Linked DNA regions of Mus musculus. The protein of the gene in region 3 purifies or fractionates together with the protein of the main gene of each other region. This does not show direct contact. Links are inferred from orthologs where the notes say so. Each region holds a gene or a part of one and is shown on either strand. Other genes may lie near its edges.

What was found.
Region 1: the proteins of Ptpn3 (region 3) and Vangl2 purify together in Homo sapiens (affinity purification with mass spectrometry; 3 studies listed by BioGRID and IntAct, with this or other methods). This does not show direct contact. The link is inferred for Mus musculus from reciprocal best matches to the Homo sapiens genes PTPN3 and VANGL2.
Region 2: the proteins of Ptpn3 (region 3) and Vangl1 purify together in Homo sapiens (affinity purification with mass spectrometry; 4 studies listed by BioGRID and IntAct, with this or other methods). This does not show direct contact. The link is inferred for Mus musculus from reciprocal best matches to the Homo sapiens genes PTPN3 and VANGL1.
Region 4: the proteins of Ptpn3 (region 3) and Shkbp1 purify together in Homo sapiens (affinity purification with mass spectrometry; 4 studies listed by BioGRID and IntAct, with this or other methods). This does not show direct contact. The link is inferred for Mus musculus from reciprocal best matches to the Homo sapiens genes PTPN3 and SHKBP1.
Region 5: the proteins of Ptpn3 (region 3) and Kctd3 purify together in Homo sapiens (affinity purification with mass spectrometry; 4 studies listed by BioGRID and IntAct, with this or other methods). This does not show direct contact. The link is inferred for Mus musculus from reciprocal best matches to the Homo sapiens genes PTPN3 and KCTD3.

Annotation. Positions count from the first base shown.
Region 1 is NC_000067.6:172,009,014-172,014,877, reverse strand, and holds part of Vangl2 (vang-like protein 2), read left to right. Parts: exon of another isoform or gene 1-56; intron 57-81; exon of another isoform or gene 82-1,426; intron 1,427-1,532; 5' UTR 1,533-1,724; coding exon 1,725-1,795; intron 1,796-1,929; coding exon 1,930-2,050; intron 2,051-4,829; coding exon 4,830-5,437; intron 5,438-5,864. UniProt on the Homo sapiens protein: Involved in the control of early morphogenesis and patterning of both axial midline structures and the development of neural plate. Plays a role in the regulation of planar cell polarity, particularly in the orientation of stereociliary bundles in the cochlea.
Region 2 is NC_000069.6:102,179,603-102,185,466, forward strand, and holds part of Vangl1 (vang-like protein 1), read right to left. Parts: intron 4,957-5,864; coding exon 4,349-4,956; intron 1-4,348.
Region 3 is NC_000070.6:57,223,044-57,228,907, reverse strand, and holds part of Ptpn3 (tyrosine-protein phosphatase non-receptor type 3), read left to right. Parts: intron 1-3,007; coding exon 3,008-3,194; intron 3,195-3,324; coding exon 3,325-3,402; intron 3,403-5,232; coding exon 5,233-5,289; intron 5,290-5,864.
Region 4 is NC_000073.6:27,348,320-27,354,183, forward strand, and holds part of Shkbp1 (SH3KBP1-binding protein 1), read right to left. Parts: intron 4,438-5,864; coding exon 4,276-4,437; intron 3,810-4,275; exon of another isoform or gene 3,752-3,809; coding exon 3,661-3,751; intron 3,568-3,660; coding exon 3,377-3,567; intron 2,289-3,376; coding exon 2,173-2,288; intron 303-2,172; coding exon 215-302; intron 130-214; coding exon 13-129; intron 1-12.
Region 5 is NC_000067.6:189,004,129-189,010,748, forward strand, and holds the start of Kctd3 (BTB/POZ domain-containing protein KCTD3), read right to left. Parts: upstream 3,713-6,620; 5' UTR 3,485-3,712; coding exon 3,402-3,484; intron 1-3,401. UniProt on the Homo sapiens protein: Accessory subunit of potassium/sodium hyperpolarization-activated cyclic nucleotide-gated channel 3 (HCN3) up-regulating its cell-surface expression and current density without affecting its voltage dependence and kinetics.

The DNA.
Region 1 (5,864 bases), on a different chromosome or scaffold from region 3:
TTGCTTCTTCTAGTTCTCTGCCCTACCAGAGTTCAGTGTCTGCTCCCTTGCTCAGGGTAGGTTTTTTTTTTTTTTAATTATTTAAATTACACTTTACTTACGTATTGTGTGTGCTTGACTGGGTGGTTTTGATGTGCCCGTGTCCCCCCTCCCCACTTCATCAGGTCTAGTTAGTTCTGCAACTCCATTTCTTATGTCTCACTTGGGTCTAGTGGCCGAGTCCTCCTGCTGAGGGACCTTCTCACCGATCGCTCCGTTTCTGCTTCTTCTTTCCAATCCAAGTCAGCACAGCTAAATAGGCTTCCCAGTAACCTGCAAATAAAACTGCAAGTCTTTGTGCGGCTCCTACAGCTTCTGCCAGCCTCTCCCTGAGCTGTGTGGTGTATTGTTTCTTAATTGCGCGGAGCCATTTCTTGACTTGGCCTTCCATGGTATGGTGTCATTCCCTCCCTTTCTTGGGCTTTTTCTTCTTTTCTTCGGCATGGTCAGATGTCATTTTCCCAAGTTTCTAGACATTCAGTTTAAAGTTTCTCCACAGGGCTGGGGATGGAGCAAGCCCAGTGGCAGAGTGCTTGCTCAGTATACAGGGTTCAATCCCTGATACATTTGTCTGTTGCTGGGTAACCTCGTGTTCTTTTCCTTCCCCCGCACTGACTAAAGTGGCTGCTTGTATTTATTGCCTACCTGTTAGTGTACATCTCCCCCCAGACCATATACCCAGTTATACCACAATATCCAGGTCATAGCAAAGTATATGGTTCACTGTAGGTGACTTAGAGAGCTTTGCTTATCAGGGAGTGGAGCCAGGAGGTGCTCAGGCATAGGAATGACTTAAGTTAGTGTTGCCAGCATCAGTGGAGAAGATGACCTTGGTTGCTAGAGTACCTGGGGCATCTGTGAGAGTTGGGGCTGGGCTCTGAAGGATGATTGACAGGTGACAGGTGGCTGTTGAAAAACCATTCAGTGTAGATGGAGGAGGCTGCTCGTGGGCCCTAAGTAGAAATAGGCTTCTGTCTTGCTTGCCCAGGGATGTTAGGCGTTTGGAAGATGCTTCTTTTTGTTTTTTATTCTACCATGCCAATCTCTATCTCCATTCACCCACGAGAGAGAGAGAGAGAGAGAGAGAGAGAGAGAGAGAGAGAGAGAGAGAGAGAGAGAGAGAGAGATATTTAGATTTTGTTCTCGAAAGCTTGTACATACAAACTTGTGTCTCTGAGTCTCTGTTTTCCTGACTGAGAACAAGAAAGCAGTGCTTTAATTCTTCCCCATCGGGCACCCCAGTTGGATGATTCTGGGTGTCCTTCTTGCCCTCGGAGCTTGTGCTAGCATCTTTCCCAGCCTGGAATACTATGGGTGGGGAGGGTCTTTCCAGCTGACAAAGCCGGAGGAGCTGAGACGGTTGGGCAGAACAGGACCCAGGAATGAGGTATTCTCATGGAGCGCCTGGGATCCCAGGGGAGATGTTTTTTCCTTTGTGTCCTGTCCTATGGAAAGCCTGAGCTACCCTCTAAGCAGTTGCTTTATCTTCTCAGGGAGCTGCCGCTTGAATTTCTCTGAGATAAGCCCACTTGTCCAGCAAAATAGAGTCCCTCAGGGTGACGGTTGACTTCCTAAAGGTGCCTCTTGGCCTGAAGAAGCCTGTGCTGAAGGAGGTGGCTGTGGGACCCCCCAAGAGGTCCCAGCCCGCGGCCCTGGAGCGCTACAAGGCACGGCGTTCGGACGCCATGGACACCGAGTCCCAGTACTCGGGCTATTCCTACAAGTCGGGCCACTCCCGCAGCTCCCGGAAGCACAGGTGGGTCTAGCTCCGAGCGGATCAGGCTGGTAGAGAGAGGTGGTGTATGCTAAGGTGGTGGGGTAAGGGGCTGCCGAAGGGACCTGGAATCCCCTCTTGACCTTTGTTTCTGTTTCTCTGGCTTCCTGCTGCAGGGACCGCCGGGACCGACACCGCTCTAAGAGCCGGGATGGGAGTCGTGGAGATAAATCAGTGACGATCCAGGCTCCGGGAGAACCCCTGCTGGACAATGAGTCCACGAGGGGGGATGAGCGGGTGAGCACTGGGGCTAAAGTGGTTTAGATCAGATATTTTGTGATCCTCTGGGGTAGGTGGAGTCTCCTAGGCAAGTCAAGGACTGATAGAGATCTAGGATACATCTCACCCAAGATCAAGAACGGTATCTTTTTTGTTTGTTTATTTATTTTTTTCGAGACCAGATCGACTTATGTAGCTTGTTTTTGTTGTGAGACAGTGTGGCCCTAGCAAGCATTGAACTCACAGAGATCTGCCTGGCCCTGCTTCCAGAGTGCTGGATTTAAAAGTGTGCACCACTATGCCTGGCCCCTGGACTGATTTTATAAACAGAATCCTCCTGTCCCTGAGTCCCAAATGAAGGGACTACTATGCCTGTCCTTTGTTTCGTGTTCCAAGGGGGGATCTTGTTGCAGGGAATTCAGGGAATTTAGATGTTAGTGGAAACTCTTTTGGAGGTACTAGTTTCAACCTGATCTCCAGGGGCAGAGGTGGTTTAGCTGAGTGAGGAGAAATTTCCCTGCTGTTCCGAAGCTCCTGGCAGCCAGTAAGGTTGGCGCAGGCTGGAGTAGGAGGGCAGCGGTGGTGGTGGGTAGGCCACAGGTTTCCCTCGAGCCTCAGATGTTCGCCCTCTGCTGTTAGCTTGTGGAACAGCATCATCTAGGTCCTAGGGAATAGGGGTTTGGAAAGAGTCAATGGAGCTGGTTGGGGCACTCAGAAGAGAGACTGGGCAGTTAGAGGGGGCACCTTGGAAAAGAGCAGTTGTTTCTGTCCTGACTTCTGGTCCATTGCACTCCCTGGATAGAGAGGACAGTAGGCAAGACACAGTCCAGGAATTTAGGAGGGACAGGATTTGTGGTGACACTGAGATTGCCCAAGTCTATTCTTATTCTTTCTTCTTGGGAGTATCTTAGGCAGTGGAGACTCTTAGCTTCTTGTTCCTGGGTGGGCAGGGGCCTGTCTGACATTGGGAACTGTTTTCTTTCTGTAATATAAGGCCTCATGGATTTTTGAAGTGACTTTGAGGTATGATTAAACTCACCTCCTGTTGGGTGGGGTTTCCTGCCTTGATCTTTGAGAGGGTAGGCAGTGTATCTGGGGGTCACTGGGTGAGGGTGGGGTGGCTCCAGTCCCACAGCTGACAGTGGGCAGCTCTTCTGCCCTGTATATTCAGATAAGATTCTTCTCCCATCCTTGGGAGAGGAGACTCCTCAGCTCTGTAGCCACTGGCCCATCCAGGTGGCCTCCTACTCTGCACTGCATATCTCAGTCCTGTAGTTTGTATCCCCTGGGGTTTAGGGTAGGATTCCATATGCCCAGGCTGGACGTGAACTGTGGGTCCTGAAAGTCCTGGTGGTCTTGGGAGATCTCTGTAGGATACTCTCTAGCCAATGCAGAGAAGCAGCTTTGAGCAGACCACACTCTGAAGGGCACCCGAGAGCCCATCTGTCTATGCTGACATCCACAGATCTTGTACCATGGGTATTCGGGTGGTCACCCCACAGAGCTAGCTTTATAGAGACCCACGGTGACCCTGAGTCTGCAGTGAGTTTCCCATCTTTTATTTAGGTCATTCACTGATCTTCCTTTCCCTTCTTCTCCTTGAATGAGAAACTGCAGTAGCTCCTCATGGCTGGAGGATAGACAAGGTCTCATGTAGCTCAAGCTAGCCTTGAACTTACTGATGTAACTGAGGATGGCTTTGAACCCCTGACCTTTCTTCCTCCACCTCCCAAGTGCTAGGATTGCAGGCATATACCACTGCCCCTGGATTTTTCTTTTTTTCTTTTTGAGATTGTCTTGATTTGTGGCCCAGGCTGATTTTGATCAGCCTCCTGTGCTCTGGGATCACAGACATGTATCACCTCACTTGGCTGGAATAGATGTCTGTTCCTGGCATCGCCACACGGCCTGCTCAAGTGGCTTTGACTTCCCCTTCCTAGCCACTGTGCTCTCTGCTCCTGCACGTGGAGACCCCTGCTTCTCTCTTTCCTCAGGGTGCCTTGGTTCATGAATCTCTGCCCTGGATATTCTAGCTCTGGCTTCTGCTGAAACCATGGACTAGTGCACAGGCTGGCAGAAACTTAGGAGAGCCCATCTAGAACATGAATGCTGGAACAGGTTCATCGGCATCTTGTTTAAGTGCAGATTGTGGCTTAGTAAATAGGGGATGGGCCTGCCGGTCTGCCTTTCTCCCATTCGCCCAGGCGATTTCCATACTGCTGGTCCGCAGAGTGCATTCTGACTAGCGGCCCCTAGAGATCGCTTAGCTCCGAGAGTTCCCAATCTTGGCTGAGCATTATAATCATCTTGGGAGCTTAAAAAAAAAAAAGTTGACAAGCAGATCTCACTTTGCATAATTGGTATGTTTTCCAAGCTCCCTCGGTGATTCTACTGTGTGCAGCTGGGGTTAGGAACCACTAATTCAGATGAGCTTCTTGTATGTCACCCGCTGCTGGAGGTCAGCTCGGGTCCTATCACTGTCTGGAAGCTGCCTGCTTTGCCTGGCAAGCCTGCCCTTGGGTCACTGTCACTGCTCGAGACGCTCCCTTGGCAGTTGTCCTGTGCTCCCCTTCGAGGGCCATCGATGCACATGTGGTATCTTTCCCCCTGACCTCAGTGCAGCGCCCCAGGGACTTGGGTTTTAGATGGCAGTTTCTGCAGCGACAAGACAGGCACACAGTGAAGCTCAGTGACTTCTGATGACTGTATATGTGTTGATTTCTCTTTCCTGTCCGCTTTCCCATGTGTACCTCTGCTCTGCCTGCCTTTTCCGCTCCACCCACCTTCCCGACTGTAGGATGACAACTGGGGAGAAACAACAACGGTGGTCACGGGCACTTCTGAGCACAGTATCTCCCATGATGACCTCACGCGCATCGCCAAGGACATGGAGGACAGTGTCCCGTTGGATTGTTCCCGCCACCTGGGCGTGGCGGCAGGGGCCATTCTGGCGCTGCTCTCGTTCCTCACCCCGCTGGCTTTCCTGCTGCTGCCTCCACTGCTGTGGCGGGAGGAGCTGGAGCCGTGTGGGACGGCCTGTGAGGGCCTCTTCATCTCCGTGGCCTTCAAGCTGCTCATCCTGCTGTTGGGCAGCTGGGCTCTGTTCTTCCGCCGGCCCAAGGCCTCACTGCCCCGAGTCTTCGTGTTACGAGCTCTGCTCATGGTGCTTGTCTTCCTGCTGGTTATTTCCTATTGGCTCTTCTACGGTGTGCGCATCTTGGACGCCCGGGAGCGGAGCTACCAGGGCGTGGTTCAGTTTGCCGTTTCTCTAGTGGATGCTTTACTCTTCGTGCACTATCTGGCCGTAGTTCTGCTGGAGCTCCGTCAGCTCCAGCCCCAGTTCACACTCAAGGTCGTGCGATCCACAGATGGGGCCAGCCGCTTCTACAATGTCGGCCATCTCAGGTATGGGTGCACGGCAGTAAAGTGGGACTTGGTGTAGGACAAAGATGAGACCCAGATGAGACCCGAAAAGGTTTAGGGGAAGGAGGGGGAGGGGGAGGGGGCGGGGCGAGGGTGGGATGGCGAGGACAATACGTGATGAACTAGTGGGGCTGGGCGGAAGGTGGTTTGCACATAGTAAGAGTTCAGTGGCATTTTCAGCCTAACGACAAAGTCGTGGGCAAGATGTCAGTGGGAGTTGTGAACTGGCAGTGACGTGCAATTCGAAATCAGGACCCTTAGAGGAGGATGGGCCAAGAGGAAGAGAGGTAAGGGGTATAAACCGAAGGTTTCTAGCCTTTTCTCGGAGGCATTATTATTATTATTATTATTATTATTATTATTATTATTATTATTTTGTGTGAGTAGTCAGTACATGTTACTGAGATGA
Region 2 (5,864 bases), on a different chromosome or scaffold from region 3:
GTGGGCAATGAACTGCACCGTGCTACCTGCGAACCTGCACCTGCTACTGCGAACAGGTCCCTTAACCTGTCCTCAACTGGAAGAGATGTTAGCTGTTGTCCCACCTGCCCTGACCCCCAGAGGTGGGGTAAATTAAGTCCAAATATAAAAAGCCCACGTAACACCTAAGGCATCAGTTAAGAGCTAGGTCATATCTTACATCTATTTATGGAATTTCACAGTCTGCAACAATACTCTCTTCCATTTCTGAAGGTTTTCAAATAAACCCCTAATGATCCCTGCTCACGAGGAAAGCCACAGCAAGGGCCTTTTACAAGTGCTAACAAGAAGCCCATTTTCTTTATGAACCTAAAGAGTAGGCATTCTTTTGAAAACTCTCAAAAATAGCTCAGACCATTCAGGAAAACCTCCTTTGAAAATGAGAAGAAAGACCTCTCCAGCACTCCACACCTAAGCGCAATAGGTCACTCTGCAGCGAAGGCTTTGCATAAAGGGGAGGCAGAAGGGCCTGGGGTTCTGGTTGGGTCTGCTGACGACCTGCTATTCTGATGTCTGGGGCTTGCTTTGTCCTTCCTGCTCCCCCCTTCCTCCTGTTTTAACAATTTATAAAAGGGCTTAGAAGTCATATTTCTGCCCCACTGGTTCTTCCCACCATGGCTGGGCTTGGGCCAGATTTAGCCCATGGAGCAGCAGGTGATGCAAACTGGTTGTCACAGGTCACCTAGTGCTGTCCAGGGAGAGACAGGACACCTTTCCTTCCACCTCAGAATTCAGAATCACCTAAGGGTCAAACCAGATCACATAAAAGGAGGGAGAGTGAGGACCCAGGGAAGAAATTTCTCTCAAATACTCCCCTCCAAGCCCGTTAGACATGTCACTTGCAGTTTTCCTAGGACCTGAGGTGAGCCTTACAGAACTTCCTGAGCAGCAGCGGGCCAGCAGTCCGGGAGCAGTCTGGCTTCTCCCACCCAGTTCTGCCCCTGACCCACATAGCAAAGCTGCTGACAGGGATTCTTTTCCTACTTTGCAGGGGCCGTTGGGTCGGCCCCTTCCATTTGCACCCAGGTCTCATGTAGGGGTGAGGTCAACCTGTTTTTGAGAAGAGTGGGAGCCCAGAAGGGATTGTTCCTCCCATCAACCTGGACTGACCTAAGGTGAGGAAGACATTACCCTTCTCTGTGCAACTGGGACGGACACTACTCAGAAGGAAGACCGGGACATAAGGCTACAGCTATCTGTCCTTCACAGTCTGTGGCTGCCACAGTCCCAAATGCTATTCACCTGCTAGGAGACCACAGGTCTGGCTGCACAGCATAGATCACAACAAAACCGGCCTCGGAGCTGGGCTGTTTGCCAATAGGCTTCATAGCTGCCGCTCACTGGCTGACTGAAACTCCCTATCTTCTTGTGCCCTGGTCTCCATCTCAGGCTTGGCAGAGCAACTGTCCACTTCAAAGCCATATGCCAGCGACTCTCCAAGTGCCTGGGATCCCCAGAAAACCCTGGGAGATATCACTGGGGAGGGGGTCGGGTGGGGAGGGGTCCTTCTCTAGTATAAAGACTGGGGAGAGAGTTCTCTAAGGTTCCAGTGCCCCAGTAGCTTCCTGGCTTCCACAATTTTACTAGCATCTCTGGGGGATTAGAAACCAACTTATCCTTCATGGCACACCAATTCAAAGAGAAACTCCCCTGGGAATCAATCATGGTGACAGCAGCCTTGAACACTAAAGCAGCCTGTCTCAGGCAGGACGAGCTGAGCCAGAGGACACAGATGAGAGTGTACGTCAGCAGGACACTGGATGAGCAGTGGGATCTACTCCAAGCGGGGCTGGGCCACTTCTCTGGACAGTAGCTAGCACAATGACAAAGCCAGTTATTCTAGTGACCACAGCGGTGTTCTCACCAGCCCTGGCTGCTTTGCCATGTGACACATCAGCTTTTACTGCTCAGGACAGTGAAACTTTGAAGCCAGGCATTCAAGGTGACTTATTTTTATATTATTGTGAAGAGATACCATGACCAATGCAATTTATGGAAAAAAAAAAAGCATTTAATTTGCGGGCTTATGGTTTCAGAGGTTTAGAGTCCATAGCCATGACTGTCATGGCAGAGAGCATGCAGCTGAGAGCTTACATTTCTCAGGCAGAGGCAGAAAGGAGAGAGAGATGATTAGAAATAATAAATGAATGGAAATGGATGGAAACCACAAAGCCCACCCTCACTGACATACTCCCCCAACAAAGCCACACCTCCTAATTCTTCTCAAATAGTTCCACCACCTAGAGACCATGCATTCAATACATGAGCCTCTGGGGCCCATTCTCATTCAAACCACCACAGTGGATCAATCACCCAGGAACCACATGGCTGCCAACTGTGAATCATGCTCCATGCCAGGCACCAAGGATGTCAGGTGGAGTAAGACACACTGTGTATCATTAGGGATCTCAAAGTATATGGAGGGGAACAGATGGAAGAAGAAGATTCTGCACGGAGGGAGAGATGTCATAACTGGATCATTCACTCAGCCCAACCGCATGACATTCAAGGGATCCTGAATAAAGCCGGGCATGCCTGGTGTGTTGTGTAAATTACTTACACCCTCTACCCCAGCTCTTTATCCATAACACTGGGATGAATAAAATTACATGAGGTTTTACAGTGATAACCAGCATAGAGTACTTACCTTCATTTATTTATAAAACAAACGTTTAAGAAGACTTTCACCTTTGAGTTAACCATGGAATAATACACTAAAGTTATGCACAGATAGGAGGTTGTTTTTTGTTGTTGTTGGTTATTTTTTTTGGTTTTTCGAGACAGGCTGTCCTGGAACTCACTTTGTAGACCAGGCTGGCCTCGAACTCAGAAATCCGCCTTGCCTCTGTCTCCCAAGTGCTGGGATTAAAGGCATGTGCCACCACGCCCAGCTACCGATGGAGTTTTAACCTTTCTCATATTACACAAACACTTTCAAAACATTCAGTCCTTACATATTTGTAGTCTGTAGCTGGAGTCTGACTCTTTTTGTTGTTGTTTGTTTGTTTGTTTGTTTTGAGACAGGGTTTCTCTGTGTAACCCTTGCTGGACTGTAATTTATGCTGTAGACAGGCTGGCCTTGAACTCACAGACATTCGCCTGTCTCAGCCTAGTGATGCTGGGATTAAAGGTATGAGTCATCAACATTGGCTGGAGCCCGACTCTTTATTAGTCACTAGGGTGACTACATAATTGACTGACCAAACAGGCTGTCTGAGAGTGGAAACAAAAAGGAAGAGCTAACAATCCCACTGAGGTACCAGGGTAAACTTGATACACCATTTTTAAAAATGGCATTAAAGTTTTAAATACTGAATTCAGGAGTGTGATGTGTACTTGCTGTATAAATCTATACATTTCATAATGTTTTTGATAAAGTACATCATGTACTTAACTATATTCACTAACCCATAACACCACCCCCCTTTCCTATTTCTCCTCCCACCCTGCACCTCCATTTCCCTTTCCTAAATAGATCTCCTATTTTCATGTGTGTGCATCATATATATATATATACATATATATATGTATGTATATATATACACACACATATAAATATATATGTATGTATACATACATATGATACATACATATGTGTGTGTGTGTATATATGTGTGTGTATATACATATAAAACCTAGGTCTGCATGACAGAAAATGGATTACCTGTCTTGTAGGTCTAGCTTACTTTGTTTAACATGATCACACCAATTCTGTCCATTTTTATTCTTCTTTATACCTAAATAAAACTCTATTACATATATATGTATATATACATACATATACATATATATTATATACACACATATATATATAAATTATCAATTTTTAAAAATAATCCATTCATCTGCTGGTGAACAACTAGGATGATTCCAAAACTTGGCTATAGTAAGTATCTGCTGCATCATTTTGGACAGAATGGAAGTACTAGTCACCTTATCCATTATCCCCAAGCCAAGTTCACAGTCAAGGTAGGTAGCCATCATTGTGTCTATCTTTGGGAATTGCCATTGAGGTAGAGTGTGAGTCCAGTAAAACCCTGAACTTATCTGAGAGTCCCATGGAAAGGCACGGACACCCCACAGCTCACCCAGCCCCTACTAACACCAAGGGTCAAGCCCCAGTCTTAGCATCGCGGGAAAGGCACAGACACCCCACAGCTCACACTGCCCTTAGTAACACCAGAGAAGGGTGGGGCTCCAGTCTTAGCATCTGCCTCTAGGGCTTCATCTCACCCCTGCCGACTAATAACATCTGTCTTCTAGGGTTATTAGTCATCCTTTCTGCTTACTCCGTGTGCATGCCCCTTACCTCAAGTGTCCCAAGCTGTAGAAGCGGGACTCTCCGTCGGTGGAGCGGACCACCTGCAGGGTGAACATGGGTTGCAGCTGCCTCAGCTCCAGCAGGACGATGGCAAGGTAGTGGATGAAAAGCAGCGCGTCCACAAGAGAGACTGCGTATTGCACGATGTCCTTGTAATTTTGGTCCCGAGAGTCCAAAATGCGGACCCCATAAAAAAGCCAGTAAGAAACCACAAAAAGAAAGATAAGGACCAGTAACAGCGCTCGGAACACAAACACCCGCGGCACATCCGCTCTTTGCTTGCGGAAGAAAAGTGCCCAGGTTCCGATGAGCAGAATAAGCAGTTTGAATGATACAGAAATGAGAAGTCCCTCACAAATGGCGCCACAGGGTTTCAGCTCCTCCCTCCACAGGATTTGGGGTAGCAGGATGAAGGCAATGGGGGTGAGGAAGACAAGTAGTCCAAGGAACGAGGCAACGGTGAGGCCCAGATAGCGCTTGCAATCCAGCCCCACACTGTCCTCCATGTCCTTGCTAATCCTGGCAATGTCCTCTTGGGATATACTGTGCTCTGAGGTGCCTGTGATTGCGGTGGTGGTCTCTCCCCAGTTGTCATCCTGATGACAGAGAAGATAACGAGGATGATTTATAAAAGCCACAACAAAATAAAATACTTCAATTAGCCAACTTTTTTGGAAGTGTTCATAGAATCAGCTTTTAATACAGGGACATTTTTAACTATAGCTATTTTCATTGAAATTTTCGCCATATATTTTATGTTTGCCCTTTGAACCCAGAAAACACAATCTAACCTTTCAATTTGTTTGGGAGATTTCATTACTATGACACCTTGTCATCCCTCGAATTGAAAAGTTCTGGGAAGCCCTGGGTCTAGGCCTTTCTGCTCTGACATTAATAGCAGCTGTTAGACTGAGCTGAGCTGACTCCACTACAGGAGAACAGCCACCCTTACCGCAGTAAACTCCGCCCATGCTAAGTTCTAGGCTTACAAAGCCCACATCCAGACACCCCCGCCCCCCAGTAGCTCCACAGAGCAGAGAGCATAAAACAGGAATTCCCAGCACACAGAGGTCAAACTCACCCACAGCTGAAAACACACTACCTAAACTTCTGTATGACATTTATAGGACTCACTTCGGTACAGAACAGCATTGAGGATTCTTTGACATCATTTCTCACTGACTAAATAAAGAAAATTCAAAACTCTATGGCCAGAAGAGCTCAAAAATTCTCTCTAAAACATGTTTTCATAATAAACTGAGTGAGGGTATAGGACTATCAGGGTTATTATATCTTTCACTTCATTATTTTCTCCTTTAATGCTTCTAGGCAGTTGCTGCTGTGGGCTCCTGGTGTGATCATTCAACAAGAGTCTGGTGCTAGACTGTCAGATGCTTTTGCTGTTCTGGAAACTAGGACTCCATTTCAGGGCACAACAGAGCTGGGGTGCACCAGAAACCATGTGAGCTCCGTGCATATGACTTAACCAGGAAAAATATCCCAT
Region 3 (5,864 bases):
AAGGAGTTTCTATGGCCCATCTTCTGGGACCGTGGGGTCTGTGAACCCTACCAATGACAGGCATCCCAGTCGTGAGGCAGGCTGTGGTGCTGTTAGGCACTCGGATTGTTGGTACAGCTGACCCTCTCCGCCCACATGTTCTGCAGCCACAGACTTGTCAATCAACTGCATGTCCAGTGTCATGAGATCTTTCCTGGTCATGGGTCAGAGCTAAACGTGTACAGATTTTTTTTTTCTTCTCATCAGGCCAGGACACAAGTGTTTGTGCAGTATTGACACTGAATTGAGTACTGTAAGTAACCGAAAGATGACTTTTGAAAACACAGGAGGGTGCACATAAATAAAATGAAGCCATTAGAGCGTTTTGTATAAGAGATTTAAGCATCTGTGGCGAATGCTGTCCTGGAACCGCACCTCAGGGGATACTGAAGGAAAGTGTTTGTATTTTTCTCAGACTATGCGATACATCTCCATGCTGGCCTGGTTTGCCGGCTCCCGCCTCAGGCTCTTAGCACACACACCACATTGCTGTCCAGTCCTTCTGCCAGCCCTGCCTATTTTCCTTTAAGCAGTCTGGCTCTTCTTGCCAGTTTCTACCTTCCCCTTCTCTTCCACTATTCTTAGGCACCCTTACCAGAATACAGCAGCAAATATGGGAGGGGGTCTGTCTCTTCAGGGAGCCAGCCAGGGACAGGGTTTCCTTGTGGGTGGTGGTGACTGCCATTATCCCTGAGCCGGACTAGGTGGGTAAACACCCACAAGATCCTGGAACCTCCCCACCTCATCTCTGCTCTTCATCTTTGTGTCATGGCTCCCGTGTGTCTTGGGAGGGACCACTGTCTCAGAGCCACCCAGTTTGCACCTGCTGGGAACCTCAGTCTTCCTTGGTCCTGTTTCCTGCTGCCATTCTCTTTCATGTGGTTGGACCTCGCAGACATCTTTGGAATGAGAGAAAGCATCCCACGTTCGTGCGTCTTTGATGGGGGAGTGCTGTTCTTCCTCATCTCTCTAACGTTGCAGCTCTTCAGAAAATACTGTTCTCTGGTGGCATTTGTCACTGGTGCCTGTTATATAGGTAGTCCTCGGATGCCTGACAGTCTGCCTCTGCGCCTTCATCCCCAGAGCCTGGGGTGTGCCTGTCCCACTCTGACTGCTCTTTTCTGGAGGATGGGGACAGGTCTCATCGTGTTGCCTGTCTCCTGCTCAGAAATGGCTTCTTGCTTCCTTCACGCCTTTCTCAGTAGCCTATGAATCCTCCCTACAGCTTCAATCCCCTGCAGTTCCGCAGGGAGCCCTGACCATCCTGGCCTCTTCTCTCCCGGCATCCTAGTGTTCCGCCCACCTTCTCATTGTCCCATTTCCTCCTTGGGTCTCTGTCCGTCCACCCTTTATACCAAGCAGAATGTCATTGTTTTCTGCAGGGATGAACTTTAGTGTGTAGTTGATAGGTCCAAAAACTAGCCACTTGTTCCTTAGCCCACCCTGACGCTAACTCTCCTCCAACCCTACTTAGAAGACAGGTTGGGATGCGGGGTGTCTTAAACTATGTCAGTGTGTGTAGTGACTGCTGTTTGCTATTTGAAGATAGAATCAAAATGTTTTAGGATTTATTATATTTTTTTTGCGTATGAGTGTTTTGTCTGCATGTATGTATGTGCACCACATGTGTGCCTGATGCTCACAGAGTTCATAAAGAGAACATTGAATCCCCTGAAACTGAAACTGTAGATGGTTATAAACCACCAGGTGGGTGCTGGGAACCCAATGCAAGTCCTCTGCAAGAACAACAAGTGCTCTTATCCCCTGGGCCATCTCTCCAGCACCATGTTCCCTGTTTGAGCTAGATCAGGAGACTTTTGTTATTTTTAATTTTGTTTTACTTGTTTTTTTTGTTTTTTTTTTTTTTTTTTTGAGCAGGGTCTATATATACCCTTGCCTATCTTGGAATTCACTATGTAGACCCATCTGGCTTTAGACCAGAGTTTTGTATTAGGAAGAAAAAAGCACTTTGAAACCCTGTGAAATAAAAACTCATGAACTAAAATTTTAAAACGTAAGTAAGCAGGGTATTTATTGATACAATTTTATTGAAAGGACCTTTTTTTTTTTTTTTTTTTTTAATATCACAGGCTTGAGAGATGACAACCAGTAATCCTTCAGGCCCAATTCTTCTCTTACACATATCTGTTTCCACACTGGTCTCCCAGTGAATATTTTGTTCAAATAAATTAAGACTGTGAATCATTGTGTGCGAATAGGTACAGATTTTATATTTAGAGTAGTCTAATTTAGGCGGGGGTGGGGTAGGGTGGGGGGTAATAGCTCAGTTCTTGCTTACCATGTGAGAGGTCCTGGGTTCTTAACACTGAAGGAGAAACAAAAAAACCCAGCCCCTGTCCCCCCCGATTTTAAATTGCTCGTGAACAGAAGCATCATTTAAAGAACAGTCGCAGGCAAGGGCCTGGGATAGAGTGTTAGTGAAGGCAAAAGCAGAAGTGGGAATGTGTGCAGTGTGTGGAGAAGCCGTCCACGTGGGAGTTTGCAGGCTGCTGTGCTAGTTACAACAATTATCAATGTATAGCTCCTGCCGGTCATTATTCCACAAATGATGCTCTGTTTCCTGGCATGTTCAAATTAGTGGGTCCCAGGCAGAGTTCCAGCTAGGAAGCCAAGGCAGAAAAATCTCTTGAGCCAGAAGTTCAAAACCAGCCTAGGCAACAGCTCTCGTATTAAACCAGAGTGGATCTACACATTTCGCCATCAACCTTCAAAGCAACTAGGGTAGGGGTTGTTTTCAGGGCCCATTGGTCCCCCCTGCCCTTCTGCCCTAAGTCAGATTTGACTTTGTTTAGCCTCGATGATAGCATGGGTAGCCCAAGGACTTTTGCAGAAATGCTCAGGTTCCAGGACCCCGTGGTGATCTCAAGATGCCAGCCCCTAACAACCAATGATCTTTTCTCTGATAATATTGATTGACTTATAAAACATCTCTTTCCTCACCATGAAGGAGTTTGTCCGAAAACAACCCAGCCCAAAGCTGCCTGACCCAGAAGTCATCCAGTTCTGTGTCTCCATCTTCGAATGCTCCAGGCTCCTGCTCTCCAGATGGAGTTGACCAGCGGTTCTTAGAAGACTACCACAAGGTGACCAAAGGGGGGTTCGTCGAGGACGCCAGCCAGTACTACTGTGATAAGGTGAGGGACTTCCGGGTCCTGTGCACTTTCGCTCGTGACTTGGTGACTCGTTCTCACAGAGAGAAAAATACCTTGTCACCAGCCACTGCAGAAGGAAGTGGTGTAAACAACCCTCTCACGTGTCTTCTAGAGTGACGATGGAGATGGCTACCTAGTCCTGATCCGGATCACACCAGATGAAGAGGGAAGATTTGGCTTTAACCTTAAGGTACACTGCGAGCGTCTGTAGCATTCTTAGGTGGTACCAAGCGAAACAGTCTTCAGGTGGATTCTGAATTTCAGTCAGAAATCTACTACCTTACCTACGCTGCGTTTAAAAAAAAAAGCAGAAAAGCTCACTTAGAGCTACAGAGAGCTCAGCTGGTAAGGTTCTAGCCATGCAAGCATGAGGACTTGGTTTCAGTCCCTGGATCTACCTAACAGAGATTGTGGGGTGGGAGGGGGGAGACAGAAGCAGGTGCAGCCCTGGCCAGCTCTTACCTCAAGAAACAAGTTAGATAGCAGCAGAGGAGTGAAAGCCCGAGGTTGACCTCTGGCCTCCACTGATAGCCACACATTCACATGTGTGAACGCAAACCCAAGCACACGTGTGCACACACTATTGAAAAGCTACTCAGGGCTGGGGATGGCTCAGTGGCTTCCAGAGGTCCTGAGTTCAATTCCCAGCAACCACATGGTGACTCTACCATCTGTACTGGGATCTGATGCCCTCTTCTGGCACACAGGTGTACATGCAGATAGAGCACTCATACATAATAAATACACTTTAAAAAAAAAAAGGAAAAAACAGCTGGGCAGTGGTGGCACATGCCTTTACTCCTAGTACTTGGGAGGCAGAGATAGACAGATTTCTGAGTTCAAGGCCAGCCTGGTCTACAGAGTGAGTTAAGTGAGTTCCAGGACAGCCAGGAGGACAGCCAGGGCTATGCAGAGAAACCCTGTCTCAAAAATAAATAAATAAATAAATAAATAAATAAATAAATAAATAAATAAATAAAGGGAAACTACTCAGGGATAAGAACTGGCTTTTTATGTAGTAGTTCAATTGCCTCGTATTATGTAGTTGTTATGTGCCCAACATTTGCAAGACTAGATCCCTGTCATTGTAGTGAGTTCTCAGAATAAGCAGAGCCAGTTTATTCTAAGTCAGCCTAGACTGTGTATGAAGTTCACGGCCAGCCAGAGCTATGGAGACCTTATCTCAAAATGAAGGAAATAAATAAAGCATACAACAGCCGTTAAACACATCTTACAAAGGAATCCCGGGGCTCAGAAAGTTGAGTGTCTGGTTGGTGATCAAATGCAGCTACAGCCCACCCAGGAGGGATTATTTCCAGGCCCATACAGCCCTGCTCAGCTGATATGTGAAGGCAGCTAGCTCAAGTCTCTGGGTCTAATGAGTCCCTCTAGGCAGTGGCTGCAAACTGCTGTCACCACCCAGTTCCCATCTGTTTGTGTATATAGCATTATTGAAACGGGTGCTGTGCCCATTGGATTACAGCTTCAGGGATTGGGTGGTGGGGTTAAGTGACTGCCTCAGGACCCTCTTCCCCACACTGCTTAAATACCTATCGAGGAAGCATCTAACTTCCGTCTCTCTCATGCCCATTCCCTCGCCCACCTCTGTACTCCTTCTGTACCCCCACTCCTGCGCAGTGAGCAGACTGCCCCTGCTGGCTACCTGCCCTCTAGAGCTCTGCTCACACGGGGAGCATCCCAGTGCACATGGCCCTTCCTGAGGTCTTGTGCCTCCTCTTTTGAAGAAGTAAGCACACATTCTTTTCCAGGAAATGTTTTTTTCCAAGGGCATCTTCAGTTCAGGTGATGGGAATGTCAGGATATGCTTCTGGGTAAAGAGGAGTCAGCAGTGTGCCCTAGAATTCCAAAAGGGGTCCCCAACCCCCGTGATTGATCCTCCCGTAAAACCTTCCTGAATTCTTAAGGCTCATATTTATTATGTCTACATACCTTTGTTAGCAAAACTACTCAAGTGTTCTGTTTTATTTTTGATTTTGCTTACTTTGAAAAATGTTTACAGGGAGGAGTGGATCAAAAGATGCCGCTCGTGGTCTCGAGGATAAACCCAGAGTCACCTGTAAGTAAATATACACTATGTGACTTCCTGTGTTTGCTTTCCCCTACGTCAAACAAGTTTCTTTCTGTACGCCCCATTCTTGGATTTTGTTGAGATTTAGTTTGTCTTTGACTGATTGGTTGGATGGTTATATGATCAGCTACTTGCTTGGTTTGATCGGTAGCAGCATGGATTTGTATTTGTTACGGCAGACAGACTGAGACAAAGAGTGGGATGTCCGTTAACTGCAACCATGCTGTGCAGCGTGGTCCATCCCTGCAGCTGCAGCACCATGTCACCTGTGGCCTTGTTATATGTGGGGCCGCTGGCCCCAGCTCAGGGACAGGCCCAGGTCCTACTTACTTACCTTGGATCTGTCTGTAACAAGATCCTTGGATGTTTGGTGTGTACATTTAACTTTGGGAAGTACTAGTCAAGGCAGGGAAACTGAGGCAGAGATTGCTTTCCACTTGTTTCCAGTAGAGATCCTTTGCCTCTTTCTGGTTTTTTCTTTTCTTTTTTTTTTATTTCGGGGCAGGATGTGGTTTGTCAAGACAGGGTTTCTCTGTCGCCCCAAGCTTTCCTGGAACTCACTT
Region 4 (5,864 bases), on a different chromosome or scaffold from region 3:
GTCATAGCTTACTGGTCTTGGGGGTGAGGTAGACGCTGAGGGCGGTGACCCCATCCTCTGCTGGGTCTCGGTAGAGCTCACTGACAAGGAGATCGTTGTCCTTCATCCGCAGGGGGAATTTCTGCACATCTAGATGGGCAGGCAGGGGTGGGGCGGATGCAGCCGAGGCTCCTGCTCCAGCCCACCCCTCACACTGCACAAGGACGCTGCTTACCTACATAATAGATGGAGCCATTGCTGCAGCCCAGGAGGAGGAAGGAGCCGGCTGCATCATAGCTCGTGATAGGCTGGACCTCCTGGACCTGGGGAGGGAGGAGGCAGTGCCAGTTTAGCTATATTTCCACACAAGGTCTCACTCTGTGTCTCTCCATGCCTGGCATCCCTGCCTCTCTCCCATGATGCCCATTTCTGTGTGCCCAGCCTGGCCAGGTTACCAGGGCCTGAACCTACTCCTTTCAACCTTACCAGTGGCCACCCGTGTCTATGGCTCTCTCTGTAACTGGCCTATGTACCTTCCTCTCTATCTTAGGCCATTTGTTCCTTGACCCCCTTCTTCTTCTGTCTTTGTTGAGATTTTAAAAATTGTTTTCTAAGATCATGTATGTATATATCTGTGCACAAGTGTGTACACATGAGTGTGGGTGCCCACAGAGGCCAGAGGTGTCAGAGCTCCTGGAGCTGCAGTCATAGGTGGTTGTGAGCCTCCTGATATGGATGCTGGGAATGGAACATGAGACACCTGAAGGAACAGTGCCTGCTCTTAACTGCTGAACCATCTCTCCAGACCCATTTTTGTTGAATTTTGACATTTGGCCCCATGTGCCTCAGGTTGGTATGGAACCTGCTAGATAAACAGCCCAAGCTTTCCTGTCCTAGAAGTATTGATGATCCTTCCTCTATATCCCATGTACTGGGATTATAGAGTGGGGTGTGTGTGTGTGTGTGTGTGTGTGTGTGTGTGTGTGTGTGTGTGTGATATGTGTGTGTGATGTGTATTTAGTATCTTGTTTAGCACAGGTTCTCCTCCCTGTTAACTAAGCACTCTGCCATTGACCTACTCACATCCCAGCCCCTCACTAGGAGATTCTAGGCAGGGGCTCTACCACTGAGCTACATCCCTAGCCCCTCACTGGGGGACTCTAAGCAAGTACTCTATCATTAAGTTACAGCCTTTGCTGTCTTCTCTTTCTCTCTCTCTCTCTCTCTCTCTCTCTCTCTCTCTCTCTCTCACACACACACACACACACACACACACACACACACACACACACATTTTGATGCAACTGTCACTAAGCTGCCCAGGATTACTCTGTAGCTCAGGTTGGTCTTGCATTGGATCAGCCTCTTGAATAGCTTGGGTTATAGGCCTGAACCAGCAGACCCAGCCTGGCTCCATCGTTCTGACTTTGCTCCATCTGCCCTGCCTCCGTGTCTCCTGCCTTCACTGTTTTTTCCTGGTTCTCTCTCAGTGCTTCTTTCTGTGCTTCTGTCTCTCTCCCAGTATACTTTTGTAGGCCAAATACACTACAATTCCATGTTTTTCCTTCACGTTTTAGATATGGCCCCTGGGCTGGATGGAGTGATGTGCACAGGCGCATCCCTCTTGCACCCTGCATCTTGCACCCTGCCATCTTGCACCCTGCCATCTTGCACCCTGTCATCTTGCATCCTGCCATCTTGCATCCTGCCATCTTGCACCCTGCCATCATCTTGCATCCTGCCATCTTGCACCCTGCCATCTTGCACCCTGCCATCATCTTGCATCCTGCTATCTTGCACCCTGCCATCTTGCACCCTGTCATCTTGCATCCTGCCATCTTGCATCCTGCCATCTTGCACCCTGCCATCATCTTGCATCCTGCCATCTTGCACCCTGCCATCTTGCACCCTGCCATCTTGCACCCTGCCATCATCTTGCATCCTGCCATCTTGCATCCTGCCACCTCTACATCTGCTCGAAGAATCCCACGGTTTTCCAAACTCATCCATCCTTCAGGTTGATTCTTCAGCCACTCCTACAGGAAGGCCTCTTGGATGTTCTATGGACTTTTATCCCACACCTACTGTAGGGTTCTTTTCCTCTTTCTCTAGGTAGAGTGAAATAGGAAGAAACCCTGGGCCTACATAGTCACAGACACTCGGGAAGAGGGAGCCAGGCTGGCCCAGACTCACCTGCCAGTGCTTGGTCACAGCGTTCCAGACACCGATGCGCCCTGTGTGACTTGTGGCAATGAGCTGATTCCCAACAAAGAACAAGGCCTCCACTGGCACACCCAGGTGGAAGACACCTGCAGGTGGCAAGGGAGGGGGTGGTGCTCAAGAGGAGGCTGGGACCCCACTGCAGGGCTGGGGGTGAAGCCCCAGGGCCGCAGGTTGTATCAGGAAACAAGATCCACGGCAAAGAGGATTCCAGGAATTACACAGAATATCTGATGGGTGTGGGAGTGTAATGGTGAGTAGAATCCTAACAGGCTGAGGTTTCCTTCCATTGGAACAAAGGGCTATGACAGCAACTAAAGGCTGATTTTTGTTGTTATTGTTTTGAGTCAGGGTCTCATGTAGCCCAGGCTGGCCCCTACCTTCTGTGTGTTGGATTATAGCTATGTACCACAATACCCAGGTTATATGGTACTGGGATTAAATCCAGGATTTCATGCATGTTCCTTTCTTCTCAGACACATAAATCAATATACAATAAAATAAACCAGTGTGTTAACTAAGTATGGTGGCTGTAATCCAGTGTACTGGCTGGATTACATCCCTCCATGTGTGTCAACTTGACACAAGCTGGAGTTAACACAGAGAAAGGAGCCTCCCTTGAGGAAATGCCTCCATGAGATCCAGCTGTAAGGCATTTTTTCAATTAGTGATCAAGGGATGAGGGCCCATTGGTAGCCCTGGGTTCTATAAGAAAGCAAGCTGAGCAAGGCAGGGGAAGCAAGCCAGTAAGGAACATCCCTCCATGGCCTCTGCATCAGCTCCTGCTTCCTGACCTGCTTGAGTTCCAGTCCTGACTTCCTTTGGTGATGAACAGCAGGGTGGAAGTGTAAGCTGAATAAACCCTTTCCTCCCCAACTTGCTTCTTGGTCATGATGTTTGTGCAGGAATAGAAACCCTGACTAAGGCAGTATTCAGGAGTTAAGGGCAGAAAGACTTGGAATTCAAGGCTAGCTTGGGCTACATAGTAAAACCTTGTCTAAGGCAAAATGAAACAATGAAAAGTGCAGAGTTCTGAAGGTCTAACACATTTCTCACAAGGCAAAAAGACTGACTCTGTACAGAATTCCCATCCCCCCATGGGTTTCTGAGTTTCAGTTGAGATATTTTAACAAGTTACAGAAGTCTACAGAGTTCTAGAAAAGATCATGAGACATACCTATCTCAGAGCCACCACCTTGTGCTTGTAGGGCCCACAGAAGGATCTCGCTGCCAGTAGCTGCAGCCACCATCTTGTCATGCTCACCCGGAGCACCGCCAAGCACCCGAGCCGCAAGAGCCAGGCGCTCGATGGGCCAGTCCAGGCGCGGGCTGGAGAATGCAAGCTGCCAGCCCGAGGCTTCCTTCAACCTGTGGGATTGAGGGACATCAGTAACCCCCACCTCAGAGCCACCCTAGCCACAGGGGCAGAGCCTCCCACTGCCACACCCCCACCCTCAGCACCTATAACAGACGAGAAAGTGGGTATATGCCACAGCAATCCAGTTGTGGTGACCACACACCAGGCGCACCATCCCTGGCTCCTCTGGTTGGCCTTGGGGGTAAGAGAGCAGAGCAGAGCAGGGTCACAGGGGCCCACTGGCCCTGACCTCCTAAAGGACAGAAATGTAAGCTACATCTGGTGGTGTAGGCTGCCTGGGAAACTTAGTGAGACCCCGTCTTAAAACAGAGCGTAAAGGCTGGAGTCAGGGGAGCTAGTTCAGCATACAAAAGCAGTCCTGGCACATGCCGGACAACCCAAGTTTGTTCTCCCAAACCCACATGGTATCCTTTGACAATTATGCTGAGTTCACACATGGACACACAATAATGATAATTAAAAATAATCATCAAATAAAACTAAGAACATGAGGAGCAAACATTGAGCTCATAATTCTAGCACTAGGGAGGTTGAGGCAGGAGGACTGGATTGCTTTGAGCTCCAGGATAGCCTGGACCAGAGTAAGATCCTGTCTCCAACAGCAACAACAACATCATCAACAACAACAACAAAAGTAAAAGAAGGCTAGGGATATACAGAGGCAGAACGCACGCACTAAGCTCAAGTCCCAAGCTTACCTGATGGGGATGGAGGTGCTCTCTCATCTAACATTCGGCCCAGCAGCCCTGCATTACCCAAGTTGGGGGGCATCGTGTTGCTCCGTCGAACAGGGGCTGGGCGTCCCCCTATTTGCTGGGGCCCCACCAGGCTGTGCCGGTTTCGCCGCTTCACTGGGAACACTATAGTGAGGGGAAGTGTCGGGCACCACAATTAAAATCGTGGCGGACAGTCTATGAACACTTAAACCATGAGAGGCATGGATTCCCTGTGTGGGGCACAGTGTCCTGGGGCAGGTGCTCTGTGTGCCGGGATTCAGCATTCAATGACCCGGAAACCCGTCACAGGGAAAGACCTGGTTTGGTGCTGCTATGATATTGGTGCCTTTTCAGTGTTTGCTAACTTGGCCAGGCCTTGCAGGCAGGTCTGAAATCCCAGCCATTTGGAAATCTGGAAGTGGAAGATTGCAAGTTCAAGGCTAGGCCCTGTCTCAGTAATAATAAAATAATAATAACGATGATGAAGCAGAGGGCTGGCAAGTGTCTTAGTGGGTGAAGGTGCTTGCCACCAAGACTGGCAATCCTGACTTTGATCCTGAGACATGTGCGGTAGAAGGAGAGAATCAATTTCTGCAAGTTGTCCTCTGATCTCCATTCATGCACCCTCCCACCACGTGCCCAATAAATAAATACTTCTGCCGGGTGGTGGTAGCACACAACTTTCATCCCAGCACTTGGGAGGCAGAGGCAGGTGGGTCTCTGAGTTCGAGGCCAGCCTGAGCTACAGAGCAAGTTCTAGGGCAGCCAGGGCTGCACAGAGAAACCTGGTCTTGAGAAACCAATACATACATACATACATACATACATACATACATACATAAATGTAATAACATTTTTAAAAATAAAGACAGCTGGACCATGAACATGTTCCTTGCTGTTACTGGGGAAAAGCTGTGGGCATGGTTCAGAAGTAGAGCACCTGCCTAAAATTCACCTGTCAGGCTTGGGAGAGGAGGGGGGTGGAGGTGGGGGGCGGGGGGAGGGCAGTCTCATGCTACAGCACCTGCCCAGCATGTACAAAACCCTGGGCGCAAACTCTAGAACTATAACAAATAAAGAATAAAATAGAAATATAGTTGTAGGAGCTACAGACATGGCTTGCTGGGTAAAGCACTTGCTATATAGGCATAAGAAAACTACGTTTTGGACTCCCCCACCCCCAGACAGTAGAAAGGTGTGTGCTCAGACTTTGTTGACAAGCCAGCCTAGCCAATCAGTGAACTCCAGGTTTGCTGGGACCATGCCTCAAAAGATAATGTGGATGGCTGAGTGTGGTGGTGTATACCTTTAATCTTAAAGGCTTAGACAGAGGAAGGAGGATCCCTATGAGTTCAAGGCCAGCCTGGTCTATATAGTGAGTTCCAGGACAACCAGGGCTATGAGAGAGACTCCGTATCATAGAACCTCCACCCTCAAAAAGTAGCATCCAATGAAGCTAGCATGATAAAGTTTAAATTTATTTATTTATTTATTTTTCTGAAGAATGGGGTGAAACTTAAGAAAACTCAGACTACAACTCCCATCAAGCTCCCGTGCATGCTTCTGAACTC
Region 5 (6,620 bases), on a different chromosome or scaffold from region 3:
TAAGTAGAAAAGATTTCAACAAACATGTACTCGAGAAAACATGGCAATTTTCCCTAAAGGCATTTCTCAGCAAACTCTTAAATAGTTCTATAGGTTACCACTGGACACAGAAAACTTGAGTCAATTAAAAGAAAATCAGTCCATGGTAAATGGAAGCACTCACAGATAACGTCAAGTAATAATGGTAGAAGAGTTCATTTTGATTGTCTAGTGTTACCATGGAAACAAGCCTTTGGCATTTGTATGAAGGAGTCCCTACAATTAAACCAAGAGGGAAGATCTACCTTAATTTAATCCTAGCTTGTTTTCTGTTGCTATGATAAACACTGACAAAACCAGCCTGGGGAGAAAGGGCTTGTTAGGCTTACAGGCTCAGTCCATCACTGATGGAGGCCAAGACCAAGTAGAGACAGGAACTAAGGCAGGGAGCATGGAACAATGCTGCTCACTGGCTCCCCTTTCCTTTTTGAGAGAGCCCAGGCCTGTCTACCTCCGGATGGTACCACCCACAGCATACTGGGTCCTCCTGTCTCAATTAGCAAGGAAGAAATGACCCCTGTGGCTTGATCAGCTTTCTCTCTTATACAATCTACAATCACCTGCCCAAGAGAGGTTCCACACAGTGGGCTGAGCCCAAAGAACTCTGTACCTTAACTTTCAATGGCTTTGTCAGGTACTTAGTCACAGCAACAAAGCAGACAGACAATAACTTCTGACACTACATGTTCATCACTTTCAGGAAACCATATTAAAGCACACAAGCCTGCTTACAATCACTAGCATGGAGGACACAGCTATAGTCACAGCACACAGGAGGTGGGTCAGGCCTACACAGACAGTAGGAAGGAAACCTTCGCTGCACAGCCAATCAGTATCAAGTCTACCCACAAAACAATCTGCAATCTCTGGGCAAAGAGACTGGAAAACATATATATGATTAACATATTTTTTATTTTTAATCTCCTATCTCAAGTGTGCCAAAGAAAAGATGACTAAAGAAATTAGCATATCTGGTGATGTAGCATACCCACTCTAGTGGCTTGCTACAAAATCTGAACTATGAAGCTAAACATGAAACTATGAAGTAAAGTGATTTGCTATGAAATACTAAGATGATAATGCCTCTAAGCCTCAAGTTCATGATCATTTCCTCAGGTCTATTAGTGCATGAGACTAGTACTATAGCAACCTTTCATTTCAGGAAACTCATCAATACAAAGTAACTTGTCCAACTTTGCTAACTAGAGGGAAGGCCTGCTATGTGCAGAAGGAACCAGTTTGTTTCCAAACCTTTCCCTCAGCCAGTCCCTCTCCTTCCTCCATCCCTACCTGAGTAAGCATGGACTGGTCACTGATGCTGTCGATCATATTCACTCCCAGTGTGTACAGAAATCCCTTACGTGCTAAGCCAGACATACCCGAGCCAGCAGCATGCTGCTCACTGTCTCACCCTTGGGCAGCATGTCCTCTGACTTTCTTCTGGTTCTAAGTAAGAGCTTTCGGCACTTATTCAGTGACTCGGAGCTCCAAGCTGTGCCACAGGTTGTCTTCTAAAACGCTCAAGCCAGGAGTACATTTATTGTCATATTTGGTATTAACTGCTAACTAGCACCCAGTAAGAGTCACATTCCACAGATGAAGTGAAATCCTTGACAGCTCAGCCTTTAAGGCATCCACTTTCTTTCTTCTTATTACTTTCTTATTCACTCTTGATGCACAACGAAGTGCACATGTGGAGTCAGTGTCCTCCTTTCGTCTTAAGTGGCTTCCAAGGAGGAGCCTCAGGTGGCCAGTCTTGCTGTTGGTAAGTGCCGTTTTCAGCCTAGCCATCTTGCCAGCCACATCCATCTCCAATACACAATAAACAACAATGTAAGGGCTGAAGAAATGGCTCCGTGATTAAGAACACTTGCCGATCTTGCTAAGGACCAGAATTCAGTTCCCAGCATCCATGTCAGGTGGCTCTCAACAAAACTTACCACACCTGTAATCCCCGCTCTAAGGGACCCTTTCTTTGGCCTCCACCTGCACTCACACATACAAGTAAGACAGACCAATCTTTTCTAAAGTGACAATATAACTTAGTTGTTTGTCATAAAGCTATATTCTCTTGAATGCCTGGAAGGAAATATGTGAGCCATCCACAGAGAAACCAGGGTTAAGGTTTGCCACGAGCACCATTCTGCTTCTCTGTAGTAACACTGCCCACGCCTTTTGTGGACTATTTCACTTTCACATACCAGGTCACTTGCAATAGGTTCCTGTAATCGTAGGTGGGCAGGGAAGACACACTATTTACACTAGATGAGGTCATTTGCACAGGACCTAGTAAGTATAAAATGCAGCGGAAGTCATTTGCATATGACCTGCTACTTAAGGAATGCACTAGAGGTGCAAGGTCTCCAACTGTTAAAACTTTGCTTTGGAGGTAAAAGGTGACAAAGCAGGAAGACCACCCCAAGTTCTCCAGCACTCAGAGAGCCCATTGTTTCACAACTGTTAATTTGTATTTTTAAATAACAAAAGTGTTACACGTTTAAAATCTTAAGACATTGAAAACTAGCCTTCCCAGGACAACAGAATAGCCTGCGCATTAGAACCCCCCTCTCCCTCTATTCTTACTATGCCTTAAACCCAAGCTTCCCTCAACTAGTAGGGGCAATATCCTTTTCTGAGAAGAGTCATGTGTAAGTCACGGCAAATACAAAAATGGGTTTTTGGTTTTGTTGCTTGTTTGGTTTGTTTGTTTGTTTTGCCAACAAACTTCCACTCCAACAAAATGGGAGTGGAAGGTCTAATAGAGACTAAAGACTCAACAGTCCAACCGGTTGCTCCTATGCAACAACTCAAGCCCTAGCACGGGAGACGACAACCAGCTGCAACGCTGACAGCTCGGTGTCAGCATGCCTCAACCCTCCAGAGGCCCCAAGTCACTTGGTCAGGCAGGCCCACCATGCCAACTGTGTTCCTGTGGCCTTACTTACACCATAGGAACCCGGGGGAATAAAGACTGAGTTTTAACAGTCTATACACTCGACCTGGAACCAGACTCTGAAGAGTGCATAGGGCTGCTTGGATCATGCAAAATTGTACCTACCTGTCTCCGGGTCCCCCACCTGGCCGTGCAGACGCCGCCCTACCCTGCAGTGGGTACCCGACCTGACCAGGTAGATGCCACCCTGCCCTGCGGAGGGTACCCGACCTGACCAGGTAGACGCCGCCCTGCCCTGCAGTGGGTACCCGACCTGACCAGGTAGATGCCACCCTGCCCTGCCGAGGGTACCCCACCTGGCCGTGCAGACGCCGCCCCGGCTGTAACACCTATCCCACCTAGGCTGGCACATGCCACTCCTACAGCAGCGGGCGTCCCACCCACTGTTCCCGCGCGGTCGCGGGCTCACCTGGTCCCCCCCACATTCAGCTGCACGATCTCCCCGCTGCTGGCCGCCGACGCGGCGAAGCTGCCGCAATGCCCGCCCGCCATGTCTGCGGCGGGAGCCGGAGCCAGGGCCGGAGCCGGAGCCGGAGCCAGGAGCGGCGGCTCGGCGGCCGGAGCACACTCGGAACGCCGAGCCTCCCGCAGCGGCCCGGCTCGCTCCAGCCTCCCCCACTACGTGTTCGTGGCCTCCGCCGCTCGTGGCTGGAGGCCGCCGGCCCAGCCCGGCCTCTCCTCAGAGCCCACTCGCCTCCATGGCGGCCGCCACAACCATCTGGAGGACGGGTCGCCGCGAGGGACAAAAAGCTGTAGCGCCGGCGCTTCACGCTTACGAAGAAGGAGTGGGCGGGGCTGGTGAGAGGGAGGAGCTCCTGGCGATGGGCGGGGCTGGACGAAGGGTCTTCTGCCACCGATGGCCTAGGAAAGATTTGCCCCTTGCCTCTTCACCAGCACAAGATTTAGGTAAAAAAGAAACTTTCGCAGTTATTCAGACTGATCTAAGTACACTCGATGAAAAGATATTGAACACCATACAGCGCATTACCTGCAAACTGCATAGTTTCCATGCCACCACTCCTCAGGGCAGGAGAAAGCAAAAACCCTGCTGGAGTGAGCGGTATCCAGCAACATGTTTCTAGATTGTACATACACGCACTTTTATTTTCTTTACTGATTGATTTTTGTTTCTCTCTCTCTCAGCATTATGCATTGGAGCACCAAACCTTAGCGATTTCGTGTGTGTGTGTGTGTGTGTGTGTGTGTGTGTGTGTGTGTGTGTGAGTGTGTCCTCCTGGGGATGGAATATGATGAGGCCTTGTGCTTGCTAGGCATCACTGACCTAAATGTCCAACCTCTAAATCATACTTTTAAAGAGTACTATGGCAATGGGATGTAGGTCAGCTAATGGAGACAGCACACTATATTTCAAAGATATCTAATTCAACAAGCTAAACTGTAAGCATTAAATGTCTAATAGTTTTCTCATAAAATTTAAAACTGATGAACTATAAGAGGATAGAAAACATCTTATCCTCATTAAACATTGCTTAATTTTGCTGCCAAATATGCCACTGAGATGATACACTTTCTCCAGAATTGATGATTTTTTTTTTTTTTTTTTTTTTTGAGACAGGGTTTCTCTGTATAGCCCTGGCTGTCCTGGAACTCACTTTGTAGACCAGGCTGGCCTCGAACTCAGAAATCTGCCTACCTCTGCCTCCGCCTGGCTCCAGAATTGATTTTTATAAAGGACAGCCACACCAGATGTGCTATCCTGTAACCTCAGCACTGTGGGGGTAGGGGGAACCAAGGAAAAAGAATAAGGAAGGGACTAGAGGCCTCCTCAACTACATAGAATTTGAGGTCAGCCTGAGATACAGAGACCCTGTCTCAAAAAGAGAAAGGGGAGGAAAAGAAGGTGGGAGGGAGGGAGGGAGGGAGAGAGGGAGAGTGTGAGGGTAAGAGAGGGAAGGAGGGGAGAGAGAGACAGAGACAGACAGAGAGATTATTTCTGGGGCTGGTGAGATGGCTCAGTGGGTAAGAGCACTGACTACTCTTACGAAGGTCCTGAGTTCAAATCCCAGTAATCACATGGTGGCTCACAACCACCCATAATGAGATCTGACACCCTCTTCTGGCAGGTCTGAAGACTGCAGCAGTGTACTTAGGTATAATAATAAATAAATCTTTAGGCTGACAGGAGCGAGCAGAGGTCCTAAAAAATCTAATCCCCAGCAACCACATGAAGGCTCACAAGTATTTATACAGCTACAGTGTACTCATATACATAAAATAAATAAATAAATCTTGAGAGAGAGAGGGAGGGAGAGATTATTTCCCCTAGCTAATGGTAATAAGATGGAAAACAGCTCAACTCTGGTTCATTGTGAGCTTTTTAATGCTTTACTGGAGATAGGTACTGGGGATTGAACCCAGAACTTTACCCATGAAGAACACTCTACCACTCTCTTCAAAAAATAGAAGGTTGAGGGTGATAATCACCCCCAAAACTTAGTCAAAATTACATCACAGGCTAGAGAAAAGGGAGAATGGGTCTGATCAGATTTCACTGTGTCCAGGTGTGAAATTCACAACGAGCCAAATAAATGCTGTGCTTCTGAAGAGGGACAGTGCTCTAGAGTGGATATGGAAGGGCAGGCTAAGCTACTAGGAATACGAGTGTGTGTGTGTGTGTATGTGTGTGTATATGTGTGTGTGTTTGTGTGTGTGTATATGTGTGTGTGTATATATGTGTGTGTGTATGTGTGTGTATGTGTGTGTGTTTGTGTGTGTGTGTTTGTGTGTGTGTGTGTTTGTGTGTTTATATGTGTGTGTATATGTGTATGTGTGTTTGTGTGTGTGTGTATGTGTGTGTGTGTGTGTGTGTGTGTGTGTATGTGTGTGTATGTGTGTTTGTGTGTGTGTATGTGTGTGTATATGTGTATGTGTGTTTATGTGTGTGTGTGTGTGTGTGTGTGTGTGTGTGTGTGTGTGTAGCTTATCCACCTTCCCATGGTAGAAAGCCCGTGGAAAAGAAAGCTGCCTCTTGTAGTCTGTGTTTCTCTTGCTGTGATGAAACACAATGACCAAAAGCAAGTTGGGGAGGAAAGGGCTTGTTTGGGTTACACTTCCATAGCACAGTTCACCACTGAAGGAAATCAGGACAGGAACCTGGAGGCAGGAGCTGACGCAGAGGCCACAGAGGAGTTCTGCTTCCTGGCTTGCTCATCCTGCTTTCTCACAGAACTCAGGACCACCAGCCCAGGGGTGGTACCACCCACAATGGGCTGCCCCTCACCCCATCAATCACTAATTAAGAAAATGCTCTGTAGGACTACTTAAAGCCTGACCTTATAGAGACATGTTTGGTTTTGTTTTGTTTTGTTTTTTCAGTTGAGAGTTCCTCCTCTCAGATCACTGTAACTAGTGTCAAGTTGACATAAAACCAGCCTGGACAGTGCCTTCAATTGAAGAAATATAGGAAGGAATATCCATATGGAGAGATAGCTTTCATTACTCGGAGCCAGAAATTGTCAGAAAGGAAGGATCAGATGAGGGTATTGACATATTTTGGGTTAATCTCCTACTGGAAATAAATAGCAGTCTATAAGCTTTAATTTTCCAAGCCTACTTTTAACGATGGTTCTTAAATGTTTTAACCTCCCTTCCGGCCCACCACCCACCA